2 linked regions of the Caenorhabditis elegans genome follow. The protein of the gene in region 1 interacts with the protein of each later gene in a pairwise test. Each region holds a gene or a part of one and is shown in the gene's direction. Other genes may lie near its edges.

Region 1 (9,992 bases):
AGCGGGTTTTGAGAATAGGTACCGTAAACTTCGATGTAGTCTTTGTTAACCAATTAGCTGGCCAATAAACCGTCAACGAATTCGGCGTTCTGGATCTTAACTTCAAGATGTTTGCCTCATCACTATCCAATGTAGCAAAAGCGCACCAGACTTTATTACCATAACCATAACTTGTTCCGGCCTGAACTGTCACGTTATATGCTGTCGCTGGTTTTAATCCATCAATTTGAAGTCTTGTTAGTGGAATGGGCACAGTGATTGATCTCTTGTTTGTTGAACTATTACCCGACAAATCGTATACTTTGACCTATATTATATCTACTCTTAGCAATAAGACATCTATATCAAACCAGGTGTTGTGTAATAATAAAGTGATGTCCAGCTTCAAGAACAACAGGTGGAATCCATGATACTTCAATTGATTCGTTCTTACGATCCATTAAAGTCAATTCCGATGGAGCATGTAACCATGGTAAAGCTAAAGAGCAAAAAAAAATCATTAAAAAATTTGTAGTATTTGTCTTGCTCTTTAAACTTTTTAAAAACTGCCCATTTTGAAAGTAAAATTAACTTAAACAGGTTCCGCTACAAAATGTTCCGCTAAAATTATGGACGAAATTGATGAAATTATGTCTTTTGCCATTTTGAATGCAAAACTACTAGAGGATTTCCGGTAATCGTTTTCCGGGATAGTTTAATAGCGACCCGATTCTAAGAGATGTAGCAATTTAAATAGCAATACTAATAGCAAAAATACGGTATATGTAAATGCACTATTAGTATTTATTGAGATTAGTTCAAGTATATTGCCAATAATGATTGTTACCGAAAATATTGTTTTTGGTAGTGTCAAATTGGCATTCATGACACAATCAGGAATTTATCTATGAGTACACACACTTCAAAATTTTTAATTTTAATTTTTATTAGTTTTCAAAACATTTTTTTGGGAAGCCCTAGAAATTGATTTACAAAACGAACTGTTGGCTCGTTGACTCTTCAGGATGGTATTCCTTTTTAAACTGATTTTTAACGCGATATAACGCGATCAAAAGTACATATATTTCCCTTTTGAGTTGAACTGGTCTTATTGTAATCAATCAATTTGTAATCAATTTTTTGGTTCTTTTTGGAAATACTGTTTTTGCTCTATTAGACTTATAGCCTCTTGCACCCTTATATTCTCTTCTATGAGTGTTCAAATAGAAACCTGACATCACTTTTCTTTTCTGCGTCTCTCTACATTATTGCCTCGAAGAGGGAAGAGTGAGGGGACAATGTGAGTCTTCCTCACTTTTAAATTTCGATTTTTTTTTCTTTGTTCTATACACTAAATTGAATATAATAATTCTGCGTGGCGTGTAATAACATATACCAAAAATAGAAGATATACATACATTGAGTTTTGAATCAAAATCCAATAATTAAATGCCCATGTCAACCAAATTTCCAAAAACGAACTTTAATATAACTAACTGGCGTTGCGAAATGTATCGAAACACGACTCATTACCTCATAGCACGTATTTCTTTACATGTAAATGTACTTCGTGACGTCATTGGATAAGTAGTATTTTCTTAAAATTCGCCACGGTAGAATCTATAGAATCAAGACCATTCTCGTCCAGTTTCAGAATCATTCACCGTGAAAAATCAAAGATAAAGATATTGGCAGAGTTTTTGATTTTCCTAGGATATGTAGCAAAAGACGCTATGAGAGGTAGGTGGGACGGTGATTGGTGGTTGAATGAATTTGATATTTAAGGTCTATTTATTAATCATGATGCATCTTAAAATAATAACTACTTTTAGTACGGAGCATTTAAAAATTCTTCCTCAGGTTTTTTGTTGTTGTCTCTTCCTTCTTCCTCAGGTTTTTTATTGTTTCAATTTTTGATGGGTTTTTTGTCAAGTTTAAGGTTTTTCTAACTAATAGTTGTAACATCGTCAATCTGAATTTCGAAGCTTTTGTCGAAGAAAAAATAAATATTTCAGATCTCATATGAAATCAAATTTTGTGCAGTTTGACAGTTGTTAAAGAAACTGATAAGAATGTTCTAAACGTGGCGCTGTCTAAAAAATCGATCCTGATAGCAAGTTATACTTTGCTAGGTCATTTCTGAATTAAAAATAATATTTTTCAATTAAAAAGTTCAATACCTGCTAGACTTGTTGTTGCCATGTTGCTTGCGTACCAAAGACTTGTTTCATTCTGCAAACGTTTTCAGAAGCTTCATAATTTTCATAAATAATCAACAGCTATATTTTCAAAAATGGATAAAACTACAATTGTTATTTTCTCTAAATATTTGTACTGTGAGTGAGGATTTTCAACCTATATATTTACCTTTTCGTCAAAATAATAATTGTTTTCACAATATCGTCTCTTTAATACATTATATATTTATCAAATTTTTCAGATAGCATCTCTGCCCGAAAGGAGTGGTTCTTCATTTCCGAGGACCGCCACCGCAACAACGTCGGAACTACATAATTTGATATACTTGTTCACAAGAAAGCATTCATATAGGATACCTTGAAAGCTTCCACTGATAGACGGTAAGTTGTGTTTCCAGCTAATCCAATAAATGTGTAGTCGCGCAAAAATGCATCAACCAAAACTGTTTGAGATGATTTTTCCGTTTGTTGTGAACCTGAAATCGTAAAACTCAAATTGGTAAGATAACAATTATATTGTGAGCCTATCATATATTCTATATTCTGAATGTTCAAAATGGCCAGAGCTCGTACTTCTCATAACAGTTACAACTAATCGTTGTCTTGTCACAATTTCTTCATCGGAATCATGTTTCCATCGAATTCGAATTGCGTCATTTCTAACCTCAATTACATCGACACCATCACCTTCTCGATCTTCATCGATATCGTTTTCTCCTGCTAATAATTCGAAACTATTTATAGAACTACGAGCTTATTAACTTACAAACGAGTATTAAGTACGGAATAAAAATCAGAAAGTGTATGGGAAATCGCATTCGAATTAGATTGACGTTGTGAAAACAGAAAAATTAGATTGGATGAAGAGAAAAGGAGAAATCATCGTGTGTCAAAAAGGATAATATTGATAGAATTCTTTCTTGGTCTTTGAAAACGAGAGAAGAGAAAAATAACGAAAATTTGATATCGGTAGGAGAAAGGCATTTTATCGTGTCGCAATAAAAAAAACCTTGAATACAGTAATTCAAACCTGTCCTAATTTTTAGATATCTGTAAAACGAACTGGAAATAAATGAGAAATTCTGTGAAAGGTGGATATAAAATTGCAAATTTCCAACTTTGGCTAATTTCCCTGATCGAATTTTCTCTAAATTTAGAACTGCACAAAAAAGCGAAATTAGAATATGGTGAATGGTTTCAAAATGAGCGTGGCTTCTTCATTAGGTTCAAATAAGTATTAGAAAGAGTTGGGAAATTTTGATTTCAAGCAATTTTTTAAAATCTGAGAAATTTTATATGAGGAAACAGAACATTTCAAATAATGCTAAAACAGTTACTTAAAAGCAATGATTTTCATCATTTTTTAGGATATTCTATTTCCTTTTTTAACCGTGGCAATGTCCGTATGTTTCTCTCATTCTCTTTGTCGACGGATAAACGCGCCTTGCTCATTCTTATTTTATAATATCTTCTAGTTTTCTTCCGAATTTTCGCTGTTCATTGTTTTGTTCCTGTGTTTCAAAATAAAACTATTTCAATATTGCATGTTTTCGAAATTTCTCCAATCGTCAAAATTGAATCACTTTTAAATCTATCGAATTTCTTTCGGATTCGAAATCCAAATGGGTTTTGATAAATTAATGTCAAGCTTCGCGGCCTAGAATCCTTGCGTGTGCAAATGCGCCCTTTCGAAGTATCCGGATATATCCATAAATAATATTTATTTTCCGCCGAAAATTTTCCGGATAGAAATTTATTCGCGTGCCGCACACCACTCATCCGCGCGGAAAATATCTTATTCTTATTTTATTTTAGAAAATCCTTTTGCAAAATCGAATGCGCAAGTTTTCCCTAAAAATCGATAATTTCACACACATTGAACCTCTTTTCAGACAAGACGGGTCAACAGTTGGTTCAAACACAATAATTTTCAAGAAATGTCAATTGTGAATACAACAGAATGCATAATTTGTTATAATGAATATGGTGAGCACATTAATGAATTTCGAAAAAAACTTCTAAATTTCAGACACCGAACTCCGGAAACCTTGCATAGGCACATGCGGCCACTCCATATGTGAAAGTTGCAAACATCAAATGGTCTCATCAAAATGTCCACAGTGCAATCGAGAAGAAGCCTTCGCAATTACTACAATCAATTATCAAGTTTTAGAATTAATAAAGCACTTTAAAAGTATGCAAAGTGGGGGAGTAGCGCCACAGGCACAATCCACAAATGTAAGTATAATTTCCTTTTTCTATAAAAACCCAGAAAAAGTTTTTGCAGAGCTTAGACGAAGGAACATGCAGTGAGTGCACCCTACATTCCAAGAAATTACGAATTTGTAAAACGTGCGCCGTCGGAAAAGGAGTTCTGAAGCAAGCCGAAGGCAAAAAAGAATTAGTATTAGTTGTTGGAGATGATGGAGTCGATGAAGCAATGACACGAGCTAAGAAGATGGCGATTTGCGGTGATTGTGCTTTGGATGGGGCCCAACACGAAGGACATCAGACAATGCAGCTGGCTCTTTTGAAAAATAGTATCGAAGATCAAGCACCGACTAATCTCGGAAATAAAATCAGTAAAATCAGTGAGCTTTCGAAGCAGGTGTGCGATGATATCTCTGACAAATTTGCGGCGACAATTAAATCACTTCAAAATTACTTCGAAAAGCATGAAAAGTTGTCTCCGCCCGGAAGAAAGACTCACTTCAACAACATCGAAGCTGAAATGGAGAAAATAAGTGATACGATAGCTCTTGTCAAAGATGCTGGAACACGATTGGATTTTTTGAATAACGAAATCGAAGAGCACGATCGAATCGTTTTTCAAACTAAACAACCTGTTACTAAGGCAAATTTCGTTTTCGCTAGTCAGGATCCCGTATTGGTTGCAGGTAAAAGTTATATTTATGTTGTGCATTCTTGAACGAAAAAAGCTCATCGCGACGCTCGCGTGTCGTTCGTTGTTATCATGCTTTTGCATTTTATACAGACTCCTCCCGCGATTCCAGTCTAAAAAATCTCTCAAAATTATTCTTTTTTTCCAGATCGAAAGCAGAGTGCCCGTGAACCACTTTTGATTGGAGTCTACGATCCTAAAAACAGAGGATGGACGCCAGTTGGGCGAATGCCGAACCCAAAATCAAACTACGCTGTTGCCTGCAGCAAATCTCAAATTTATATAGTCGGAGGAATGAATAACGGATCATGGTTGAACAACGTTGAAATGTATGATCGGGAGAAAAACTTGCGAAGAGATGTGGGTTATTCTTTCAGCTTTTAAAAAATTCTCTAGAATTGTAAACTTTTAAAACAAATAATTTTTATTGATTTCAACAAAAATGTCAAAGTTATTACAGTGTAATAAAATGAAGCGTGGAAGAACACGAACGTCGGCGGGAATCCATAACAACAAAATGTACGTGGCCGGTGGATATGATAGCACTTATATGAATTCTGTGGAAGTTTATGATACTGATCAAGGAGAGTGGAAGGATGGACCATCGTTGCAAAGGCCTCGTGCCGATGCAGCGGTTGTTCCATGCAATGGAGAGGTTTATGGTATGATTTCGATTAATTAGTTGATTAAAAAAGGTTTAATTTCAGTGTTGGGAGGTTTCAATGGAAAAGAATATGAAGAGAAGATTGAGAAGCTGTCAGAACCTGGTCAAAAGTTCGAAATTGTGGGCGACATGCAAGGAAGTCGCGCCGGATTTGGATCGTGTGCCTTCAGAGGAAGAATCTACATTGCTGGTGGATGGAGTAACTCGAGTAATACGTTGAGATCAGTTCGAAGCTATGATCCATTGACGAAATCATGGAGAGATGAGCCATCGTTGAGCAAAGATCGAAAATATTTCACTCTTCACTCGACGAACGAAGCTATTTATGCTATTCGCGGATGTGCTGACAATTGGAGCTTAATCAATGAAGTCGAGCGATTTGATCCAGAAAAACGTGCATGGGAGATTATTAGTTGCTCCGGACCAATGGTTGGAGCCGGTTCATCTGCATCGAATGAGCAAGCTATTACATAAAATCGTGTATCTTATTTTCATAAAAACAGCTGTTGTATGAGCTGTACTCGTTGATTTTCGGTTTGGCGTTAACCTTTGAGACCAATCAGTTTACTGTTTTGGAGACCCGAAGAACTCGGGGGATGTCCAATTGGGGGGATTACCAACTCGGGGGATTGGCCCCGCCCACAGAACCGGGGCTTGCAATACGCCCATTTTTGCAACTGCCGCACGGTTTTGAAACTGTATTTTTCTTGTTAATTCTCGCTCTATTGAGAAAAATACAGTTTCGAAACCGTGCAGTTGCAGAAATGGGCGTATTGCCAGCCACGGTTCTGTGGGCGGGGCCAATCCCCCGAGTTGGTAATCCCCCCAATTGGACATCCCCCGAGTTCTTCGGGTCTTCTGTTTTGTGACTGATTACCAAAAATCCAACTTGCTCATTATTCATATCTAGCTGAAACCTAGTACTATTAAACGTATTATTTAAATTTTAGGATCTTTCCATTTTTCTGTCTCTCTGTAAAATGTAATTATGAATTTCGTGCCCCCAAAAACTTTTTATAATTTTTAACTCATTTTTTTCGCATTTAAAGGCGTAGGAGCTATTTTCACAATCAAAGAAGGGCACGAAATTCATAAGTACCCTTTTTCGATCTCCTGCGCTTTACGTGTTTTTTGGTTCTTTCATCTTTCATCACCCCATCAATAACCAATAAGTGTTATTGTTTCAATTCCAGACTCGTGTTAAATTGTTCATTAATATAATTTATCCTTCTCTCAAATCACGAAATTCTGTGAATATTCTTTTATAAATAAAATGCACCCATGAATTTCAAATTATTATCACTGCCTCAAATAACATTTCCTCGACATCACAGCCTGCGTCAACGCCTCAACATTTTCGAACAACATAGAGATCTTCCCATCAAGTTGCGATTGTCGTTGACGTACTTTTTGGAGACGATCTTCAGTCTCGTTGAATGCTCGGCGAGCAGTAAAGAAGTCGTCTTCATCCTCCATCTGCATTCGCAACTTCCACCGGGTTTTACGGAATCTGAAAAAAAAGTCAAAATTGGAAAGGAAACTGAGCTTATCATTAACTAACGTTATAACTGAACAAAGCAACATTCTCTGCATTTTTGCAAGTCTTTGTTGGTTTCTTCTTGAACTGCTTTTTTGATAATCTCTGGCACGAAGTACGGTTCTCCATGTGTTTTGAAGTACGCAAGCAGCTGCATTTTTATGTCTGAGAATTCAAAATTTTGACTTTTTATTGCTCATCTTAGAGCACATACTCATTGGTAATATTATTCTCTGCAATGATATGATTCACTCTTTTTTCACATGTAGTTAAAATCAACTTCCGACTGATAAGAGCAATAAGTGTAGAAGAGAACAGTGTTCCCTGAAACAAACTGATAAGAAAGGAAGAATATATATGAGGAAGTTATGATGATAAGAAATGTTTAAGCATAGGAAGAAATTGAAAAACCAATTGATAAGAAAACTTACGACGATGGCAGTTAACATTGCCAGTCCTCGTCCACAATAGGTATTCACTTGAACATCCCCGTAACCGATTGAGAAGAATGTCTGCAATTTTCAAAAATTGAAACTCTAGACCCTTCAAACGTTACATTTCATAAACTTCAGCTTATCTACATTATGTGAACAATCTTGTAGACTATTAGAAGTCAAAATAAAGGAGATCGTGGCAAGACCCAAAGCGATAATGAGCGTGTACCTTTAATGTGAGGTATCGCGTTTTCACGAGTTTACGATAATAAAAATTTGAGGTAAAATTTGACGACTTTCGGATCTTCAGAATTAATAAGTATAACGGATTTTCTTGCAAAAACCAATAAATATTATTCTGCAAGAATCCGAGGTTCATTCCAAATCCATCTGATCTAGCCACAATATTCAACTTTTCCAATTGGCCATCGTCGAATTGATATTTTTACAAAAATCAATACAAGGACTAGTATTTGTCAATTTTACTTGTCTAGTATATTCAGATTATTTTTCATACCGATTCAGGCTGAATTTCAGAGTGCCCATTCCCATTTTGACCACTGTAAATTTTTTCAAAAATCAAATTCCCCATAGGCCTCAGGATTCTGAGCTCTCTGAGCTGGCTTCGCGTGAATCCTAGGTATATTTCTTCAAACTTACAATAATCTCAAACCATAAATAATCAGCAAAATGTTGAAAACCACTGATTGATGGGTAGGCGTACCTGAACTCAATGTTTCAATCAATTCCTTTTCACTCTATTAGTCTACTCCTCTACTTTGGCAACTTATCTAATTCTATTCCGAAAATGTCAAAAAACTATCAAATACAAAAATGTACCATATATCTTTTCAATTGACATTTTTTCAATCTTCAGAATGTACCGACTATAGAAGTTGCCAAAGTTGAGCAACGAGACTGAAACTAATTGTTTTTTTTTATTGTGTAGACTCAAAATTTGCCTAAATGAATGTGTTTCATAACGAGGCTTCTCAAAAAAAATTTGAGGAATTTTTGAAAAGTTGCATTCTGAAATTTGTTCACTTGGGCACAATTTGAGTATCTACAAACAATGACTCAAAAACCGTTTGTCCTCCTTAAAGTCTAGACTACTGAGATTAATGTTTACCTTTCACATTGTGTCAACATCCAGGAAACAACGCACCAGAACATCAGTGACGCAATTGAAAGTACGAACAAGGGACGTTCATACATCTCGCTTTTTAGCACAAACCGAAAATCAACTGCAATATGGTTTAATGAAGCAATTGTTCGAGTTGCAGTGTCCTGGTGTTGGGAGCTATGAAGAACCATATATCGACAGACAATGAAGAACCGTAAGAACATTGGAAGAGTCAAAAGAACACTTATTGGGATGTTCACACGTTCACGCGTTCTTTCAGCTATGTTCGAAAGAATCGGCCACGCGACAACACCAGTTTCTGAAAAATGTATCCATAAAATAAATCTTCTCTTTCGATCTAACCTGGAATTGGACAAATTGCACATATTGCCACCTCTAATAAAGTATTTAGAACTCGTTCCGAAGTTATACCTACTCGCCAATTTGAAGTACCCGTTTCGACTAGTTGAATCTAAAATTAAGATTTACGGTGTTACGTGAAGGTTTGTAAGATTTCAGAAATAATAAAAATCTTACTTTGATATCAATGAAATGGTAGAAAAGTAGAAAAAAGAGCAAAGCTATCGTTGTTATAATTGCAGCTGTTCTTAAAATGAACGATAAATCCGATGTATTCACGAAGCTTTCCAGGATCCTTGTAGCTGTGAATTCGACATCAAGCATCGCCAAAATAAGCCCACCGACTGCGAGAATCAAAGTGGCATCGCACAGTTTCACTTTCAGATCTGATAATCTTCGACGAATTTTCCATCTCTTGCGAACTGTCTCCGCGTTGCTCATGGCTACTCCGTATCGTTTCCCATAAACTGACGGACGGCTTTGACGTGCCCGTTCTCCAGTTCCACTGTCACGTGAATCCCAATCGGAACCTGGAAAATATATCTATTTAAAACATCAATATCAATTTCCATTAATAATCCATACATTTCTGTTTTAAATTTTAATTGACAAACATATTCAGAAGCAAATTAAACGTAATCCCAATTTTTTAGAACAAAAATCTGCTTATTTTTCAAATTTTCCACTTTTCCAAATTGGTAGATTTTAAATTTGAAATCGACAGTAGCGTTCTAAAGTTAAAAGCTAATTTTAAAGACATGAAAATCACTTGCTTGCCTACAAAGTAAACGTAAG
Region 2 (9,233 bases), 1.1 Mb from region 1:
CAAAACTAAAAAAAAACGAAATACTAAAATGTTAAACATTTCAGATGGTTTGAACCATTTTTAATCTACAATCAAAGTTGGCTTGGCTCAATATTCTTTGTAATAACGTATGGTGGAAGATGTATTCAAGGCGCCACGGCAGCTATTCTATCATTTTGTAGAGTTTGTGCAGTTTGCTTTCCGATTTTTTATCACAAGGTCGGTATAGAAAACTAGAAACTTGTTAGAACTACATAATTTTTAGCTCGGTGAACCATGGTACCTTCACACAATGCAAGCAGTTCAATTGGCTGGTGGAGTAATCGCTTTTGTGATTTTGTGGCCGGACTCCTATGAATATATTTTGGAAGACAATTGGTAAGCCGTTTTAAATTCAACCAAAATCAAACAATTATTTTCCAGTTTTTACTCGGTTGGATCGGATGACACTGATGCAGATTGGTTCTATAATTTTGTAGCAATTATGGAAGTGGTTTTGGTTCTGGCGATAATTGTGAATAATGTGGTTACATATACTATGTTCAGATTGAAATTTAACAAGGTATCTTATGTTTCTAAGTTGATAAAATTGAGAACTCTTTGTTGAATAGTTTCTTAGAGTGTCTGGATAAATTTTTAAGCCATAGGTAAATTTTTTTAAAAATATGTACCAAAAATTCATATATTTTAAAAGTAAAACCAAAACCACATTATGATAGTTAATTTCAAAACTTTTCCATTGTATTTCATGTTTGCTCTCATTGACCAAACGTGACACATTTATCAAGTGAAATAAGCTTAACCGGAAGTTATATTTAAAAAAAAAGGAAAACTTATCGATGGATGGACTCCAGTTCAACAGTGATAAGGGAAGCGTATGCCAGAAAGTTGTAAATGATAGCAGGACTATGAACACCAAAAGTCAAAAATCGATTATCGAAAAACCAACAACTTCAGAATATTTGTCATGGCTCGGTTCGCAAGAGTGTCAATTCCCAGTTTGACCTTGGAGTCACACGTGTTTTTGGTATTTTGCAAAAATACTTCTGTCGGAAAACTCTCAAATTAACGTTATTAACCCGATTTTCGAATCAACCAAAAGTAGAGACAGTTTTTTAGAGATTAGAGAAATGTTCTAGAGAAAAGTAGAGTATTTTTTATAACTCAAATTTTTACTTCAGACCTAATTTTCCAGAAATCTGCCATCAAATCAAACTCTATTACACCAAGTCAACATCAATCGAACCAAGAGAAACAAAAACGAGAAAATGGACTGGACAAAATGACGTTCATAGTGTGCCTGGTTGAGCTGATCTATTTTGCATTTGTAGTTTATTCACTTCAAATCAATCAATACATGAATAAGCGAATATTTTACTTTTTATATAACATCCTTTGTGTCATATATTCAACGTTCTCAGCCTGGATGCTTCTGATCATATCAAAACCTATTAATTCTCAAGTTCGTCAGCGATTCTCGTATATCACCCAGAAAAATGATATTTAATACTTAATACAACATTTTCAGAAATCTCGGTGGTAAAAAGTTGACCCGGTCAATTTCAATATCCGTCCAAGGAAGTCGAGATAATAACAAATCATGAATTTTTATGGAATAAATTTGTACATATGATCTCAAAGTTCTCAAAGTTCCCAGCGGTCAAAAATTGGTTACTTACTCGAATGAAAAATGTGATTTCATATTCTGGGGGTTTTTGTCACATGTTCCACTTACTCACATTTTCGCAAATCCTCTGATTTTCCCACCGCTGCACATTTAACATGCATCTCCAATTTTTTATTTCGCTTCAATAATCTTGAAACAAAACCAAACACAGATTTTACAAACTTTCAAAACGAAATAGGTTGGCCTATGATCAGGCAGCACAATTTCGAATCTGAAAATAGTTTCTTGGTTTTTTGTTTTTTGTTGAAGTAACTATTTCAGTTTTTTGGATCTCTCATTTGCAGCTCCTGAGATCAGGATAATTTCAGTTTTCCAGATGAATAACGTGGTTTACGACAGCTTCTCTGAGTGGTTTCTCATTGCAGAGACAGCTTCATTGACTGTTTTATTTGCAATTACTGTTATTTCATTTGCAGTTTATTTTGTAGAAATACAAATTTTATTCACTTCGAGGAATTCTACTTTCAAAGGTCAGAGAAGATAATATTATTGGTTTTAGGAATTCAAAAAACGTTTAAAAATCCAAGAACTAATTCAAAACAGCACAAATTTCTCTGAAATAAAAAATGTTTCAGGCCCATTCTACCGTCTTATGTTCATTGGAATTCTTGTTGACATGATATCTGCCGTAAATCTTTTTGCGTTACAAATCCTGCCAGCTAGACAGTAACCGTATTCCACATATCTTCTAACCAAAACCCTCACATTTCCAGATGGTTAGCATTATTTTATTTTCCGAATGAAAGCTGGCTCGGTGCAATTTTCTATGCAATTTCGTATGGAGGTCGTTGTGTCCAAGGAGCAACCGCTTCAATACTATCATTTTGTCGTGTTTGTGCGGTTTGCTTCCCATTGTTTTATCAAAAGGTAGATTCATGATGATTCATAAACCGATAGTGCTTATAAACCAGTTCCCCAGTTTTGAAAATTCCTGAAGTCAGCTTCATGACTCATCGTCTTATCAGTTTTCAGCTGAGTTATCCAAAATACACGTACACAATGCAAGCCATCCAACTCTCAGGAGCAGTTGCATCAGTGTTTCTCTTGCTCCCACGCGAGTACAAGTATGTGAATGAGAACGGAGGGTATGTGTGACACTTGTTTAACCTCAGAACACATTTTTTGTTTGCATTTAAACTTCAGATATTACTCGGCATTTGTTAACAACGAGTTCAGGAAACCATTTTTCAATTTTGTGGCGGTACTCGAAATTCTTTTTGTTTTGGCAATTGTTGTGAACAATTTGGTCACTTATATAACGTATAGATTTAAACTCAAAAAAGTGGGTTCAAAATATAAGAAAGAAGCATGAAAATGAAATGTGGATAGTGAAACATCGGCATGATCTTACAAAAACATAGAAAACAAAACTTGTACTCTATTAAAAAAAAAACAAAAAAAATTGTATAAATCTTGACTGCTACTTTCAGAAAGTGTTGTCAAGACGCACTTCGGTGGCCGGATCCAAATATCTTGACAGTAGAGAAAAACAGAAAAAAGAGAGCAGCCTGGACAAAATGACCGCTATAGTTTGTAGTCTCGAACTTATTTATTTTGCATTTGTTGTGTACTCTCTCCAAATAAATCAAACGATGAACAAGAGAGTTTTCTATTTTCTCTATAATATTCTTTGTGTCATCTATTCAACCTATTCAGCGTGGATGTTACTTTTGTTTTCAAGACCAATAACTGTGCAGTTTAAGCAGAGATTTTTGTACGCTTTACACTATAATTCCCAAAAAAAAACAATATGTATTTCAGAAGGCTTAGCTCAAAACGATCAACTCGTTCTATTTCAATTTCAGTCCAAGGAGGCAGCCGGGAAAATAACAACAAATGAAAAGAAATCAAATTCAATTGACTTTTTTGTTGAATGCTTGTCGGCTCTTATCTTTTTAGAAATAATGATAACTTTTTCATGCATTATTGAACGGGATCTTATAGTTGAATTGAGAAACACTCGATTTCGTGATACTACAAAACACAGTTATTTTCTTTTCAACAGTTATTTTCTACAACAGTTATTTTCTTTTCAAAATATCACAACAAAAGTTACATGAGTGTTTTTGAAAATTTATCAGTACAATGAAACCTTCAAAAACATCAGTATAAGTTTCCTCAATCAAATGTCAATGAGAAAAAAGTGGGAAGAAACCCTCATTAATTACTCGTACGATGGCTGTCCTGTGTGATACGTAAAGAAAGAGCACAGAACACGAGCGATGAGTCATTTTCTCAACTGGCTCAATTCAGCTTCCCGCCGCCCATTTAGGAACTGATTGTAAAGTTTTACGTATATAAAAATAACGATTCAACCCAGTGTGAATAACTTTTTTTTTCAAATTTCACTCGATATTAGAGTAATTTTTATCGCGTAAGATCTCACAGTTTTTTCATCTTTTGAAATCCCGTATCCTTGCACTATTTTCATTGTTGATATGGATTTTTTACATTTTAAATTTTTTTTTAATTTCCGTTATTTACAACGTGTGTTATACAAGAGACACATAGATCTTTAAAAATAGTAGAAAATGTAGAAGTGTAAATCTTGCAAGCAGGGAACATTTTGTAAACTAGGTATATTTTTGGTGATTTCCCTGAAGCTGTCAAGTGTCAAATACGACGCAGATAAAAAACATCCGCAATCAAGTCAGATGGTTTTTTGATGATCATTTCCCGAAATAGACCAGTGACCATGATTCTTTAAAAGATCTTCAACTCAATAGAGAGCAAACTATACACATTGTAGCTGGCCTATCACTTTGGGAACAAACTGGTGTCTAACTTCTCAACCGCCTCTATGTTCGCAGAGATTTTTATTTGGTGTTTGCAAAAATGTATATTCAATCCAATTAGAAATCAAAAAAAAATCAATTCAATGTTTAAATAACTTTCCTATCACAAAAATGATTGTTCCGACAACCGCTAAAAATGTGATAGTTGTATTCTACGCTTTATCATTCATCAATACTTCTCTTCACTTTTTCCGATTAGTTTTTTTTCCACTTGAAGCAATGATTTTTCAAAACTTGTTAGTGATTATTTTTAATTCGGGAGGAAACTATTACCACCATAGTGTACATTTGTGTTGAAAACCTAAGTACTTAAAGACGGTCCCTTGTAGGATTATTGTATTGTTTTGAATAAAGATTAACATTACATCTAGTTTTACGAGGCGTTAGCCCCAAATTCTAAATCAAATATCAAAAGACATCGTCGACTGAATCGTCGTTTTAAGACATTTTCCAAGTCTTGTCCAAGTTCAATGTTCAAGTTTAAATTTAATGTGTGTTAAACTCTGATCGCATATAATATTCTTTCAAGTGCTTTCAACTGATTACTGTTTTTATCTGAAAAACACAAGGCAAAAATTATAGTAAACGTACTCTATTTTTAAACAAATTTAAATCCTTGTAACTGTAATCAATATCAACTTGAATTCCAGTGAAGGAATGGAAGAATTAAATAAATACAAACAAGAGATCAAGGATAATGCATTGAAGGAACTGGTGAGCTTTTCGTTTGATTAATTTATTAATAGAAACAGTTAGAAAATTTCAATTGATTTATAGTTTTGAAAGTAAACAGAGGCGCCATATGAAAGTCTATTTCATAAAGAGCATTAATAAGCAGTTGTACAAATTTATTAGATTTTGAATATAATTTTTAAAAACGTTTAATTTTTTAAAACATTTCTTAAAGGATTCGACAAAGAAAAAAATTAACGAGGAGAAAAAACACTGGGGTGATTTACCATTAACGTACATGCCAATTTCCAATGGAACAATGACTAGAGAGTACGCAGAGGTACAATTTATAATTTTAGAAAATCAGTCCACCCACCTTAAAATGATTAATATTCCAGACTGAACAATTTTATAGTCACGTTGTCAACGTAAAAAATATACTCGATAGTTTGTTCGAAGAAGTAGAGAACGATATCAAACGGCTTGATGCAATTTTCTGCTTCAATGAATACACCGTATACGGACAAGAGGACATAGAACAAATTAAAGAAAATATAAAAAATGAATATAAAACATCGGTTGCCCATTTCAGCAAGCTATGGTGAATTTTTAATTTTTCAAAACAATTTAGTAGTTTCTTAATATTCAGGGAAGATATCAAAGCAATGAGCGTTCTTCTTCGTTCATGTTTCAATAAAACATGGGACCGTCATTCCGAAGTGACTCTCCTTGTAAATCTTCTGATTGCCATACTGTATCGATTATTAGTTCCGTTGCAGACTGTGATCCAAACCCTTGATGAATCCATTAAACACGTTAGTCTATATCTTTGAAGTAGTAAACCACACAAAAAATAAACAAAAAAATTGATTCAAATCAAAATTTCAGTCAGTCAAAGCCCAGAAATAGTATGTGGCACTTTTAAACTTAAAAATCTTTAATCAATTAGTTATTTTTTGCAGAGAGGTGGCCCTAATTATGACAAGAACAATGACAATTTCTTCCTCTTGAGAGAATGTGGATCCGCTTTAAGAGAGTGTAACACTCAAATTAAAATGGACGAAAAAAATTTAATCATTCGGATAATAAACACAAAAGATTTAGAAGGAGGCTTTAAAAAAAGCTTAGAAACTCTATTGAATGAAAATGAAAGTGCGAATTTTATCAAGTTACTCGCAGAATACCTGGTCAGTTTGAATGCTTCAATAGGGAATTCTTATGTTGTGATCGACTTTTTGAAATTGTAACTTTCAGGAAGGAGTCAATTTAAATGTGGATGTACAAGTGCTGAAAGAGAATTTCTTCATATTTGCCCAAGGAATCAAACAATTTTATCTCAACAATGTCGAGACACTTAAAGATTGAACAATGGACTCAAAATTGTTTTCAAAATACCTTAACTTATTTTTCACAGTTAGACTTTCGAAGTCTTTGTTTAATTTTGTTCAACTTGCCAGATTCCAATGTTCAGAAATAAAAAGTTTACGAAAAAAACATATGCTTTTCTTGCAGTCAGAGAGCAGTGTTTGAGACCAAAATTTCATTTCGAGAATTGGGTCAAAACAATTGACTTGATATACAGGTAAAGGAAGATTCAACAATTGATAACAACGAATAAATAAAAGGAGATATATCTAAACGTTATTAGATCGTCTAGTTCTTCTTGTGTCCAGCGTAGGCTCCTCCGGCTGGGGCAGCAGCCTGATATCCTCCGGCGGCTGGAGCGGCTTCAACGGCAGCTGGGGCAGATGCTTGGTATCCTCCGGCTGGGGCAGCTCCTCCGAGTGGGGCAGATTCAACAGCGGCTTGTCCGGCCTGGTAAGCTCCTCCGACGGCTGGGGCGGCTCCTCCGAAAGCTGGTCCAGATTGGTAGGCTCCTCCGGCTGGGGCGGCTCCTCCGAAAGCTGGCCCGGATTGGTAAGCTCCTCCAACTGGGGCGGCTCCTACGAAAGCTGGGGCGGCTTGGTAAGCTCCTCCGATTGGGGCGGCTCCTCCGAAAGCTGGTCCGGTAGCGTATCCTCCGACTGGAGCAGCTGGGGCGGTGGCATATCCTCCTGCTGGGGCAGCGATTGGGGCAGCGGCGCATGGAGCTGGTCCTCCGCATCCTCCTCCGAGGGATGGAAGAGAAAGTCTTGGGAGCTCAAAGCGTGGGAGTTGGAGTGGTGGAAGAGCTGGTGCTCCGCATCCGCATGGTGGTGGTGGTGGTGGTGGACTGGAAAAGAAAATTTGAAGTTGAATCATGAAATTAAGTTTTGATTTCTGCAGTTTTACTATTAGAGGAATCGACAATGAATGGCTTTTACTAAAGATAAATCTCAGGAACCAGAAAAATAAAATAGGTGAAGAATATAAAAAAAAATCTGGAATTTAATAAAATAAATCAATAAAATCAAAAACTTACGCGCATCCACATCCTCCACCTCCTCCAGATGGAAGAAGGAAAGCCTGAGCGGCGGCGATGGTTGTGAAGAAAACGATGAGCTTCTGCATGTTTAATAGAAGTGTTAGAACCAAATGAATTGGATGACTTTTACCGATTGGCCCGTCGCTTAAAAAGGGTGAAGCATGTGGGCGGGGCTTTTCGAATAAAATGCCAAAGGAGCCTGCCTTTCAGGCGAGAGGAAGGTATTGGTCAAAACCAGAAATTGCGACATTGAGGGAAATCTGACGTACGGCACGGTGGGACATGAGGGACGCGCGGAAAAGGACAATTGATATGACGAGTTCTGCAACGAAAAGTGTTTCTCTCTTTCTCTTCACCTCATGCCAGACAACGGCAGATCATGGATTCGGATAATAGATATAAGGAAGGTGAGACAACCAGCGGCATTGATGGGGCGAAAAAGCGAAATTAGGATTATCAGGATTTTACGGTGAGACGATGGGAATAGATGCGTGAAATGAGGCATGCAATAATACATATGCAAAAGTCCAAGGTTTGCCAAAAAATCGTTTGACGAAACTTTGAAACTGTTCTTTACAGGACTAGAAGCTAGATAGATTTGAAACGCATTAAGGTTTTGTTATCTTGAAATTAGCATAACTTAATTTTTTTTACAAGTTTCATGAAAAACTATCTCGAATACCCAATGTTTCAGATTTTTAGGCACTTTATTTTTTAAAAGGCATTGATTTTATTGGGAAGTCCAAAATAGAGATGCGTTTTTTTGCGGATTACGTCTCTGATCGTTTAAATTTTTAAATTTAAGTTTCTAACACTTTGTTATCATCATTCAGTTTCACATTTTTCGGAAGATTCAGAGATTAAGATTCGGTTATGATTTACGTATACCATTAAAAACTTAGCATTAAAAACTTGATCTACACAAGTTTCCAGTTTTCAATTTGCTAATTTAAAAAAGGTATGCCTGATCAGAAAACTTAGTTTTCAATATTTCGAAAATTTGTTTTGCAAAAGTTAAGTCGAATTACTTAAATGCTTTTTTCAATCATAACATAATCATGCAAATCAATATGTATTTTACGACCTCAGGAGTTTCGGCAACCCAGATAGGCAAATTTTTAAACCTATCATAATTTGGAAGCACATTCAAATTAGAATGTGCTGAAACATGCCAGTTTGCTACATTTTCCCAAGGCTAGCCTAAAAGATGACACACATATTTTAAAATATATCCATTTCTTTTTTCTATTTTTTTGGGAAAATTAAGCGGGGCGATATACTACTGAAAGATTTGGTTATCATGTGCACAAGACCTTATCATGACTCGGTATAACATTGGAGTTTTTCAGAGTCAGATTTCTTGTTGTCTTTTTTTTTTAATTCAATAATATCTTTAGATTCCAGTAACGGCGAATTATTCACCAAAATTTACACAATCAGCTTCTCGTTTCTGAGTTACCTTATGTTGCATAACATTCCTAGTGAAAAAATCGTTTCCTGTCACTTTCATCATTCCTCCATTCCTTACTAATGCGTCACGATGCCCTTTGTGATGAAGCTTCAGTACCCGATACGAACCAGACGATTGTTGCGTTTAAGTTGATGCGCAGTGACCTCGATGGAAGAAGCTTCTCCATTTCTCTTCATATCTTTCGAAATGATTGGCCGAAATACGATAAGAATCGGTGGCATATCT

What was found.
Region 2: the proteins of rike-1 (region 1) and F53F1.6 interact in a two-hybrid assay, tested with the Caenorhabditis elegans proteins (one large-scale study listed by BioGRID).

The regions. Positions count from the first base shown.
Region 1 is NC_003283.11:14,539,944-14,549,935, reverse strand, and holds rike-1 (RING-type domain-containing protein), read left to right. Parts: upstream 1-4,114; coding exon 4,115-4,163; intron 4,164-4,206; coding exon 4,207-4,415; intron 4,416-4,455; coding exon 4,456-5,074; intron 5,075-5,227; coding exon 5,228-5,439; intron 5,440-5,530; coding exon 5,531-5,741; intron 5,742-5,786; coding exon 5,787-6,217; downstream 6,218-9,992. Other genes in the region: C53A5.13 (Fibronectin type-III domain-containing protein), read right to left, coding at 23-307, 351-478, 2,160-2,211, 2,535-2,653, 2,751-2,897, 2,944-2,995; kcnl-4 (Calmodulin-binding domain-containing protein), read right to left, coding at 7,043-7,253, 7,305-7,445, 7,495-7,604, 7,712-7,792, 8,375-8,438, 8,844-9,156, 9,201-9,309, 9,375-9,727.
Region 2 is NC_003283.11:13,413,490-13,422,722, reverse strand, and holds F53F1.6 (Protein containing ALS2cr12 (ALS2CR12) signature), read left to right. Parts: upstream 1-5,109; 5' UTR 5,110-5,118; coding exon 5,119-5,175; intron 5,176-5,368; coding exon 5,369-5,473; intron 5,474-5,531; coding exon 5,532-5,734; intron 5,735-5,782; coding exon 5,783-5,948; intron 5,949-6,095; coding exon 6,096-6,320; intron 6,321-6,387; coding exon 6,388-6,498; 3' UTR 6,499-6,627; downstream 6,628-9,233. Other genes in the region: srv-9 (Serpentine Receptor, class V), read left to right, coding at 45-198, 245-357, 403-541, 1,175-1,458, 1,508-1,583; srv-8 (Serpentine Receptor, class V), read left to right, coding at 1,983-2,136, 2,242-2,332, 2,380-2,533, 2,639-2,751, 2,810-2,948, 3,097-3,380, 3,428-3,506; cut-2 (Cuticlin 2), read right to left, coding at 6,787-7,345, 7,535-7,623.